3 linked regions of the Schizosaccharomyces pombe genome follow. The gene in region 3 interacts genetically with the main gene of each other region. Each region holds a gene or a part of one and is shown on either strand. Other genes may lie near its edges.

The links. Genes that interact genetically often act in the same process or in processes that back each other up.
Region 1: mutations in aga1 (region 3) and pof9 together harm fitness more than expected from each alone (negative genetic interaction), as found in Schizosaccharomyces pombe (one large-scale study listed by BioGRID).
Region 2: mutations in aga1 (region 3) and pfd1 together harm fitness more than expected from each alone (negative genetic interaction), as found in Schizosaccharomyces pombe (one large-scale study listed by BioGRID).

What each region holds. Positions count from the first base shown.
Region 1 is NC_003423.3:1,869,987-1,873,826, reverse strand, and holds pof9 (F-box protein Pof9), read right to left. Parts: upstream 1,995-3,840; 5' UTR 1,981-1,994; coding exon 1,616-1,980; exon of another isoform or gene 1,546-1,615; coding exon 507-1,545; downstream 1-506. Other genes in the region: phosphoserine phosphatase Ser2, read right to left, coding at 2,526-2,624, 2,696-3,493.
Region 2 is NC_003423.3:1,755,395-1,759,198, forward strand, and holds pfd1 (prefoldin subunit 1), read right to left. Parts: upstream 1,865-3,804; 5' UTR 1,703-1,864; coding exon 1,694-1,702; exon of another isoform or gene 1,597-1,693; coding exon 1,430-1,596; exon of another isoform or gene 1,279-1,429; coding exon 1,116-1,278; 3' UTR 872-1,115; intron 829-871; exon of another isoform or gene 728-828; intron 649-727; 3' UTR 507-648; downstream 1-506. Other genes in the region: protein Fis1, read left to right, coding at 2,413-2,794, 2,908-3,008; actin cortical patch component End3, read right to left, coding at 3,564-3,804.
Region 3 is NC_003423.3:335,851-339,982, reverse strand, and holds aga1 (glutamate N-acetyltransferase), read left to right. Parts: upstream 1-1,702; 5' UTR 1,703-1,844; coding exon 1,845-3,182; 3' UTR 3,183-3,534; downstream 3,535-4,132. Other genes in the region: mti2 (translation initiation factor IF-2Mt), read right to left, coding at 3,535-4,132.

The sequences.
Region 1 (3,840 bases), 1.5 Mb from region 3:
TAAACAAAACCCCCAAGTTAGGGTCGCCAGAAAAAAATGGGGTGGTTAGGAATATTACAAACCACCAACGCAAACGACAAATAGAGAGCAAGAGCCCAACAAATTTTGACCACCGAGGATTTAATATGAAAATCGGTAACCTTCCTTACAGTCCAAATCAATTAAAAAAAATAATAATGTTTGGTAAAAACTCGTCGTAGTAGCACAGTAACTTAATTCACAGGGGTCAGGAATATAAATTGGTCAATGTGTGTACTTTATGTAATTGCGATACAGGAAGAAGGAAAAAAAATTTTCTCACTTATTTAATCACCGTTGTGTTTTCCTTGTGCTGCTTTTTTTTATAATTGGCTTACCTAGAGGAATTAGTAAAAATAGAGATAAATTCGGAAGTCCGAGGTGGCCGAGATATTTATTTATTTCACTTACTTAGCGGACAAAATAAAATCCTTCTCTAGTGCGCACGCGGAAATTAGCTTACCAAGCAAAGTTGATCACTATTTCACCTAGCCGTCCCTTTCCAAAGTCCGAGTCGCAGGGGCAGCTAAAAAGCGCAACGCTGGAACTCTGGATGGTCGGATGATAGAAAAAGTTGTAATTGGAGGCACATTGACTTCGGGTAAAACAGATTCCGAAATGGCGAGAGCAGCACTTTGCCATCCGCCGGCTGCAACTGAATAGCAAGTTCCTGAAAAGTGAATTTGATGTGGAATGGAAACGATGTTGCGTGCGGTGCGTGGATCAGAAACAATGCTGGGATCAGATGTCTGTTCTTGCAAATGAAGAGAACCCAAACCTAAACACCCACAATAACGTAATTCAACACCCCACGACCATATGGAATGATCGCTTGTTAAGTAAAGATGATGATGATCGCCATGCGCCAATTGCTTAATTCCTCGGTTCTGGAGAAAGTCGTGGATAACCGGGTCATCATCGACCTGCTTGGTATTAGCATGACCCATGTAAACAGTATTGCCATCGTCCGATAAACATGTGAAAGTTTCAAAGCTGCCTGCTAAATGCCAACCTTGATGGGGGTCGTGCGAAGCGAACCTCTTCAATTCTCTTCCTAGCGTGTGTTGTGTAGCTTGGTCCAGGTCTAAACGAAACACGGCGCCTTTTTTCTGAGGTGATGCGACAGTATACACTAGGAATCCTGCGCAGTGAACATAATCGTTCAGCACGAATTCCTTCATCGATGCCTCTGGCTGGAAAAGTTGCGCTTCACTTTCTCGTCCAGTGTGCCAGACAAGAAAGCCAATGCCCGGCACATACGCCGAATGCGAGTCCCAACCTGATTTAAAATTAGCAATTCTTCCGCGATAGGCTGATAGCATATTTTGTTCATCTGTCAAGCAAATTCGTGTTTTTAGAGATACTTGATACAAGTGTCCCGTCTCACCGAGTGCAAGACAAAACTCTCGACCAGCATGGATTTTCACAATTGGCTCTAAATCTCTCATCAATTCGGGCCCAACATTGTTTGGTACCCCCGTAACATATAAATTTCCGTTTTCATTTAATAAATACATCCCATAACCTCTAAATTCCGCATAGGGAATAGTTAGTCATTGTAGTGCAGTCAAATAAATTCCTGTATCTATGCGCTTACCCAACTTGAACCTGAATAGTAGAACGAACGTCCTTCCCAGTCAATGCACCAGGACGATCTCGAGGATACTGATTTGTATTGACGACGCGGCCCAAATAGTTTCTTATCTGTTGCCCCCATGAGTAAGCGTATCCTCGGTCTTTCCATACAGCATAGGGTCTTTTGTAATTATCATCAACAACTGGGACTACATTGGTGAGACCTTGGACCCGTGCACAAAATCGATGCCAAATTGTTTTGTCGTCAAAAACATACGAAAGTGACTTGCATGTTTCTGACAAATGAACTATATCTTTATAATCAAGATATGTACTAATTTCTAGCAATATATCGTAAGAAAGCTCCAGGAATGGTGATTTAGCCATAATGAATCTCGCATGGGTAGTAGTATATGAATACCTCTGAATATATACAAGGGAAACGGTGTTGAAATACGTCAAAAGCACATGTTTTCTGCAACTCTTAATAACTAGATACAATTGTATTATTTACAATTAATAAATGATAATAAAGAAAGGTCTATGAAACGAAGGTGTAGTCATTGCACGAATCAATTTCAAAGTCTATCAGCATAACGAAGCAGATTTAAGAGTAAATGATCGGCTTTATAAAAACCAATTGAGTAATTCTTGTCTGTTTTAAAGAAGAAAGCTTCTGAACTGCCCCTTTTTTTTTAAGCATTCATTGCACACCCTTTCCAATGAAGCATTGATCATACCAAAATTGTAAATTAAGGAAAAAGAAAAATAAGAGTATCAAAAATAAAGAAGTAGGGTATATAAAAGACGGCTCCTACTACAGAAAAAAAGACCACGCGCACAAGTAAAATATTGCTTTATAAAAACCAAGCCACAGTAGCTCAGAGTTCTTGACAGCGCCTTGCGATTGAAAAATTCTTGGAAATTCTAAATTAATTTTTGTTTTCCAATAGCTTTTTTTGTTGTTGCTCATCAATACCCAAGAGGTAAAGAGCGTTTTGCAAAGATGGAAGATTGATTTTCGAATCAGCCTAATTAAAAAAAAAAATCGAGTTAGTAAGATCATTAAAAACATAAATTTGTAAAAAAATTTCGAACATACCAATAATTGAACTTTGGGTTTAGCTTTGAACGCAATTCCTAAACCGGATTCGGCCATCATGACCAAATCGTTAGCTCCGTCCCCAACAGCCATCGTTTCGAGCTTATTTAAACCCAACTCTTCCCTCTTTTCACGCAAAATGGAAGCTTTTCGTTGTCCATCTACAATTGCACCTTGAACTTTTCCAGTGAGGAATTTACCATCATCGGAAAATTCAAGTACATTGGCATATGCATAGTCCAAGTCCAGTTGTCCCTTGACATATTCAGCCATTGGAACAAATCCACCACTAGCGACAACAAGAGTCGCACCCATTTGCTTAAGGCAATGACAAAGCTGTTTAGCTCCTGGAGTGAAAGTAATTTTGCCAATGACTTTATTTATGACATCGACGCTCAACCCTTGTAGTAGAGAAACGCGACGACGAAGTGATTCTTGAAAGTCAATTTCCCCATTCATTGCAAGAGATGTAATCGTAGCAACCTCTTTCTGGATGCCTGCTTCTGCCGCGAGCTCGTCAATACACTCTTGTTGAATCAACGTCGAGTCCATGTCAAATACTACAAGCTTCTTTTTAGTGGAAAATGTTGCTTCACTCAAGCAATTACAGTCTACATTCTCAGTAGCAGAAATGCGGTTACAAGCGTCTTTAGCATCTTCAAACGTTCCTTTAAGTTGGCCTGATACTAAAGTCCACTGTTCCCCCAGAGAACGAGTCTTCCCATCTCTAAACAAGGAGGAAATCTGTTCAAGCACATTTGGACGATTTGAGGAAACAACTATGGCTGCGTTGACCATGCTTATTAAAAGGTATGAGTGGGTTTGCTAAATTTTCTAAGTTGAAAAGCGTTGTTTTCGGCAAGTCCCATTTACTAATTACTCGGCTATTGATTAAGCTTAACGTTAAACGACAACAAGTACTAGGTCAATTTAAGTTATTTGAAAATCTCAAACAAGCTTATTTTTTGTTATTGTTTACAAATTTATCATTATCTTCAAAATGCTGTATAAATTGTGAAGTTGGTAAAGTGGTGCCTAAACTCCGTTTTCAAACACAGGTTAATAAGCAAATATTTTTTTTATACATTAAAGCAATAAAGCAAGAAATCATAACTAAGAAGATGTTTGGAAATATTGCAATATAT
Region 2 (3,804 bases), 1.4 Mb from region 3:
AGTATCATGAGTCTCGACATTTGAGGTTCCATTGTTCAGTTTTTCTTTTTTTTTTTGTTTTAAATTTTTTTTAAACTTCTTGGCATATAATTAGTAATGTTATTTTGTGTTTATTAGACTGCTTTCATAGGTGAAAATTTATGTTATATGTTTAAATTACTTCTTGATCAGTGTATGGGTACAATAGACCATAAACTAATAAAGTTATTTTTTTTTACCGATGGTGTTTAATCCTTTTTGCTTTTATTTAGCTAAATTTATTGTATATAAAGTTGTCTGCAGATCTTATCAAAAAGTTGAACTGCAGGATCTACATTAATGACTTTAACTAGAACTACAGCAAATTACCATCATAATTTAACGGCAACTTCACAATTCGTATATAGAATTATTATTTTAATTCAGAAACAAACATCTGATATGAGAGACCTTCAAGTCCTAATATTGTCGCCATAGTTAATATTAATACATTACTACATACTTTGTTAAACAATGATTAGTGACAGTTCGTTTCGGATAATTTTATTCATAAACTATAAGTAAGCTATAAACTATTCCTTGTGCATCTCTCAAAAAGAAATCAGAAGTTAATGGAGAACAAAACAGCTTCCACACAGTTAATGATATCCTTGAAAAAATATAGAACACCTTAAAGTATGGGTCAGTAAAACAGCCAACACAAAAGTCAGACAAACAGACGTTGAAAAAGAAAGAAACAAAAGGGAACGAGAAATCTCAGACTGACGTGCAAATCAGATGGAAAAAGTTTCAGCATACGATGCTCAGTTGAACTATGCTTTTTTGGAATCATCAAAGAAATCCTTTCTCCATTTACTTTTCCAAACGTCAATTCTAACAGTAGAAAACTTACCTTAAAAGTATAACATATACTAAATTCACAAGTCTTCAAGCTTGAAATTTAAGTATCCATACACAAAAGCGCAGTCACAGTGATCAAAATTTCGGCTCACAAATGCCCCAGTATTTGTTAGAAATGCAAGAAGATTAATGGAACAAATTTACTTTAATTCTACAGTTTTAAAGATAAAAAAGAAAGTCATAAACTTTCCAATCCCATAATCCAATTTACCAATGAGATGATTATAATTGATGTTTTAAGAAATCGACTCTTTTATCTTTTGTAAATGCTGCTCAGCATTTGAGGCCGTTGTTTCGTGATATGTTTGTTTCTTTTGTAGTGCTTCAATATCTTCTCTTAAACTTGCCATTTCTGCGTCCAAATGTGTACGTACGGAAGCCAAATCGGATTTCATAAACCTGTAAATAAACAGTTAGTAAATGACTTTACATATAGATTGACAGTACGGTCAATTCCATTCCAAAAGTGCTGTTTTTGCTAATTCCGTATTCTTTCCCTATTTTTATAGAAAAGAAAATAAAAATACATGTTTCATTTTATGACACTTACATCTTTCCAAGAGAAGTATATACGGCCTTATCTTCTCCAACATCCTCTAACTCTTTTTTGGCTAATTCACTTATTTTTAGTGCCCGTTCCTTGGCAGCAATCTGTACCATTATGGTCCTCAGTTGTTGCTGTGAATCAACCGCTTTCTCTTGTATTTGACTAGCTAACTAATATGCCCAAAGCTCATTAGTTTACCATGTAACACAGTTAAAAAGAGGGAAATTCCTAACAAAATAATTCTCTTCTCAATGATGAAATACGTACATTTTGCATTATTTAAAGGAAACTTGGGTATATCTCAAGAACTTATTTTTTTTGGATTGAATTGCTCTTTCCAAAATTATGGTACAAAGAATAGTCCTTTTAATACTTTTTTTATAGACAAATCAAGAACTTTTTCAATATATTTGAATATACCACCTTTACAAGTATATCAAGTCTTAGGCAAAATGTTGGTTAGGCCTTAAGTACAAAGCTGGCATGTTACAAGCTACTTTACACTGCTTTTATTATCGGTACGTTTCGCAAATGTGAATTACATAATACGCCACAATTTGTAATAAATATTTTGTGAAATGTTTTGCCATATCCTTAAGTTCTTCCTTACATAAATTGTTGGCGATGGCGTTCACAAACGAATCTTCATTTCATTCCTTCTCTGTTTCAAATTTTTGTGGAAAAAGCATATCCATATTCTTACTAAATCGGATTTCTGGACTTTTCTATTGCTTTGGAAATCCATTATCCTTGTAGTTCACTCATTTGCGCCTCAAATCCTTTATAATTGGAATTGGCTGTTTACATTGATAATTTAGCATTTTTGCATCATACTCAACCCTTTTTTTCTTCTTTTATATTTGAGTTGTTGAATTTTTTTTCAAGTGACTGTAGTTTTTTCAACATTTTCCGTTTATTTATATTAATCCGCCTTTAAAATAATTAAGGCACATTCAAAGACCAATATAGGAAGCAATAACGACATCATGACTGAAAAACACACCCTTCGCCTCGCTGATCCTTCTGCTATTGATTCAATTATTTCTGTTGATGAGTTTCTACAAATCAAGGAACAATACGATGCAGAACAACCTCTGATTACTTTACAAACCAAATTTAACCTTGCTTGGGCATTGGTACGCTCAGATTCTACACAGCATGTACAACAGGGATTATCTTTGTTCTGCAGCATTTACAAAGATTCACCGGAAAGGCGTTTGGAATGCCTCTACTACATTGCTTTGTCCCATTACAAATTGAAGCAGTATGAAGAATCCCGTCGTTATCTCAATATGTTGTTATCCAAAGATCCAAATAGCCCAGAGGCTTTAAAGCTAAAAAACCGTCTTTACGATGCTGTTACAAAAGGTATGTTTATTTTAATAAAACTTAATGAGGTATCACATATGCATGAATGTTGTGTTTATGTTAGAAAGATGCGTTATAAATAATGAAAAGAATCATTACTAACCCGTTTTTAGAAGGATACATTGGAATGGTTGTGGTAGCTGGTGCAGTGGTGTCAGTTGCAGCTCTTGTAGGTTGGGCATCAAAACGGTTGTTTTCAAAGCGTCGTCCTTAAACCGTAAACGATATTAATCACAAGGGAGCTTTCTTTTGCATAAATTCTTCAATTTTTTCTCCTTACGAACAATAGGATTGTGGATGTATCCTTTTCATGAAACGCGTATGAGTTACGAAGGCTTTGGGAGACATTATAGTGTGCACTTTTTTTAGAAAAAGAAGATTATAAATCGAAGCTTGTTGTTTTTATTATATTATCTTTTCTTCTTACCCAGTTGATAGTTCTGAATTCGCTTGTGTTTCTTCTTAACAGCAGGGTAATAAATTTACCTCAAGGAGGTTTTAGATTGTTATAAAAAGAGAGTGAGTATTTATTATAAAAGCTGAATAAGTTCCTCCTTTTATACTAATTCAAAAGTTTTGTATCGATTAAACCAAAAAATATAATGATGGACATTAATGAATGATTTTACAATCCAATTCCCTCTTCCTGTTTGAACAGTTTATTAAGCCCAATAAAGAAAGAAAGAAAGAGTGTACCTTCGTCGATTTTCCAAGAAAACATCCAAAGACTCAAGTATTTGAGATGATGAGCTTTATAAACGAGATTTTGTTAAGACAGACTACGAAGCCTTTCCTCTAGCTTAGCCACTTGAGACTTCCGACCTTCCAAGTGACGTCCCAAAACATTAAGTTGTTGTTCCAGCATTTTTAAGTCATTATCAATGGCGGAAGCGCTGGGGCCATTTGGTCCATCATTTTTTAGAGATTGAAGGATACCCAACTTATAGTCAAGTACTTTCTGTAAATCACGTTGAATAAGCTTTGACTTATTTTGTGCAATGTTAACATCG
Region 3 (4,132 bases):
ACTATGCATTGGAAATTCCTATAAATAGTCGATGAAGTCTGCGAAACAAGGGAGGTAAACAGACTTAGTGGGTATTAAAATGTTGGTCAATCTTCTGCCGTCTTGATTTAAAAGCACTTCTCTTTTACTATTGTAAGACGGAATATGCATGCAAGATCGCTTTAGTTGGTTGAATGTCTCTTTCTTTGTGTTGTGGTTTGTTCGTTTTTTTCTAATTTGGAATATTATAAGAAACGTTGTTTTCTTGCAACATTTTGAAATGGTCATTCAAAAAGCTGGATTCGGTACCACTTTTCTTTTTACCTTGTCTTCTAAGCTCTGTTAAATTTCTTGATGGGGTCCAGTTAAACCAACCCCCAAGTTGGTTTATGTGAGCCTTGTCTCTTTTTTGGATGAATAGTAGCTTAGATAGTGATAGTTATTATTATGACTGATGGAATCTACTTAAAAATGGATTCCATTTTTTGTCTACTGTAATTGAATTCTTTTTGGTACACTTTTTGGCTGCATTGTTATCCTTGAAAGCACTTACAATGTTTAAACTTTGCGAATGACTGAAACAGAAAAGAAATAAAACGACTGTACCTGAACTATTGTTGAAACAATATTAAAACGTATTCCTGAAACAGATTAAACTACATTAAATTTTGTTAATGAATTAAACGTGAAACTTGAAAGTTTGATGCGAAACAAAACCCGCAGTTTGTTTAAACGCTTATTTGTGATTAAAATTGATGAACCAGTTTAAACTATGAAAGTGTTTGAAAACGTGCTGAAACCATTCGTTAAACCCTGCAAACCAACATAAAAAAAATTGAAAATAAACAATAACCACAGCAAGCTAATTCAATTCCAACAATGGTATGTTGCATTGGTCTTCGGTTGTGCTGTGCTCCCTCTTTTTTTGAGCATAGTTAAAACCATTAATACTATTTAAACATTTCTCTTTAAAAAAGAGAAGAGAATAGCAACACATAGAATTTCCAAATTCAACATGCCTTCAAATTTGAAATCGCAAGGAACAGCTATTAATGAATGAAACGAGTTAAATTGAAATAAATCAAACACTATAAAGATTATTATTCTATTTCTTGCTTAAAACACACTTTAAGGAATTGAAATTTTTCACGTAAAATGTTGATGAACTGGCTTTAAATTTACATGCAAGTCTTGATTGTGAAATGATGCGTTGGAAGCATGAATTGGTATTTTCTTTTTTAAAAAAAGCAATGAAAAGTTTGAAAAAGGCAATAAAACTTGGAGGTGGTTGGACTTTGCCGATTTCACGAAGTTTTTCTTTGCTGTTTGAAACTCAACCAAATAAATTAAACAGTGGTAGCAGCCCCAATTAAACTGAAAATCTATCAGTTATATGTTCATGAATGTGTAAAAGCAGCAGAACAGACAGATCCCAGCATTTTTCCCTTCTCTTTGCACTACATTATGAGAGGGATAACTGATATTCTGTAATGTAGATCTGAGAAAACGAAGGCAAAGCTAATCCCGAATGTAAGGTTTAGGGAGCTACTTGTTTTCATCCTTTCGAACGTAAGGCTCATAAAGTATCATTAATTAAACGTAAGAATAATAAATTTCAAACAAATTAGTTGTTCGCTATACCTACTTTTGTTGTGCAGCATTCCCATCTTCTTATCAAGTTTCACTTGATAACCGCTTCGAAGATTCAGACTTCATCCTTCTTAAACCACTACCGCCATCGCATATATATATTTATATACAAAGCAAGTTTACATTATTGTAGCTTTTATTAAACTGCTCGTTCAATTCTACTAAAAAAGGGATCCACTGATTTTGTTACAAGACTGACCATTAAATTCATTGCTATGCAAACCAAAATTTTTGCACGTCTTGCTGGCATTGGTCGGGCTCGGTTTGTTGGTACGATGCCCGACAAGACCAAATTCATCAGTAAATCTGGAACGTATCCACAAGGTTTCAGCTTAAATGGTATTGCTTCCGGCGTAAAAGCCAATGGAAAAAAGGATTTAGCCATTTTATTTTCCTCTCGACCATGCAACGCCGCAGCCGTCTTTACTAAGAATGCATTTCAAGCTGCTCCAGTTCAAGTTTCACGCCAAACTCTGAACGGCTGTGGCGGTAAAGATATTCACTGTGTCGTGTTCAATAGCGGTTGCGCTAACGCTGTTACTGGTGAGGGCGGTTTGATGGATGCCCAACTCATTACCGCCGAAGCTGATAATTTGACTCGTCCACATTGGACTTCGTGGACTGAGAATTCAGAGGAATTTCCCTCGTCGTTGGTGATGTCGACTGGTGTTATTGGACAACGTTTGAAGTTAGACAAGATTCAAAGCGGTTTGGAACACGCGGTTGAAGACCTCGGGTCCACTCATGAATACTGGATGAGAGCAGCTGAGGCCATTTGCACTACGGATACTTTCCCTAAACTCGTTTCCCGTGAACTTAGTATTGCAGGCAAAGTCTACAGGATTGCAGGTTTTGCCAAGGGCGCAGGTATGATCAATCCCAACTTGGCCACTCTTTTAGGTTTGTTTGTTACAGATGCCCCAATCTCAGTTGATGCAGTCCGATCTATACTTCGTCATGCAATTAACAACAGTTTCAATTCTATCAGTATTGATGGTGATACGAGTACAAATGATACAATTGCCTTCCTTGCAAATGGAGCTGCTGGTGGATCCGAGATTACCAAGTCTTCCCCTGCATACAAGGAGATTCGTGATGCTGTAACGGATATTGCTCAACAACTTGCAAAGCTGGTTGTCCGTGACGGTGAGGGTGCTACGAAATTCGTTACTGTGCAAGTCAGAGGCGCTAGATCAGAGAAAGACGCTGCGTTGGTGGCATCAACCATTAGTAACTCTGCATTGGTGAAAACGGCATTCTTTGGTGAGGACGCTAACTGGGGTCGTATTTTGTGTGCCGTCGGTTATTCAGGTGCTGCTGTCAATCCTCCTGCTACGACCGTTAGTTTTATTCCTGCAGACGGAACTGAACCATTGAAGCTTTTAGTAAATGGTGAACCACAAAATGTCGATGAGACCCGTGCTAGCGAAATATTATCGCAAGACGAACTCACTGTAGACGTTGATCTTGGATGTGGTCCTTATGCCAAAACAAATTGGACTTGCGATTTTTCGTATGACTATGTTCGTATTAATGCTGATTATCGCAGTTAAAAAAGAACAGTGGTCAGTTACCAAATTAACCAAGAGTGAGCTCTACGCTTTGATACCAAGAAAGCTTCATGTTTTTACAGCTTTAAACTCTTCAATTCAATTTGATGAACATACACGACGTTCGTTTACAATACGTGTCTAACAGAAAAAAAGGATTGCTGAGATGCATTCATTAACAAAAAAGTATGTATAAAAAGCTTTGCTTGCTTATGGTAGAAGTTTGCAATTTTAAGCGAAAGTTCATTATGCATGTAACATCAATCATAGTATATCATAATAACATGAATCTTTTCATTCGATTGCCTGCCTTAATTGAAAGGAGTTCAAGCCAGGATTAAATAAGAAGTGCATGCTAAAAATCAGGAGGTTTGTATTCCTCAACAAATGTTTGTAGCTTATCCCCTGTAACTATTTCGTCAAAATTTTTTAATAATATACCGCATTCCCTGCCTTTTTTAATACTGGTGACTTCTTCTTTTAAGTGTTTTAGACTGTCAATTTCACCAGACCAAATAATTTTGTCATTACGTACTAAACGTATTTTATGGGATTTTTCAATAGTTCCATTAGTAACTCGACAACCAGCGACATGAACAACTGCTCTTTTAGCTTTGATGTCGAAGATTGCACTAATAATAGCTTCTCCGGTAACACGCTGAACCAATATGGGCGGTAATCGCAAAGCAAAAAGTTTCCGTACATCATCCATTAAATGATAAATAACGTTGTGAAACAACAGCTTTACATTGTGTTTTTCTGCTAAACGAAAAGTAGCTTTCGGAACGGAAACACCGAACGATATAATGATGGCATCGGATGTTTCAGCTCTCTCAATATCAGTTTCGGTTACTGGACCCACCCCAGTATACAAGACTCGAGATTTTACCTTTCCAAATTGTAATGGTTTGAGATAATCTGACAGGGCCTCCATGGACCCAGTGTCTTCACAT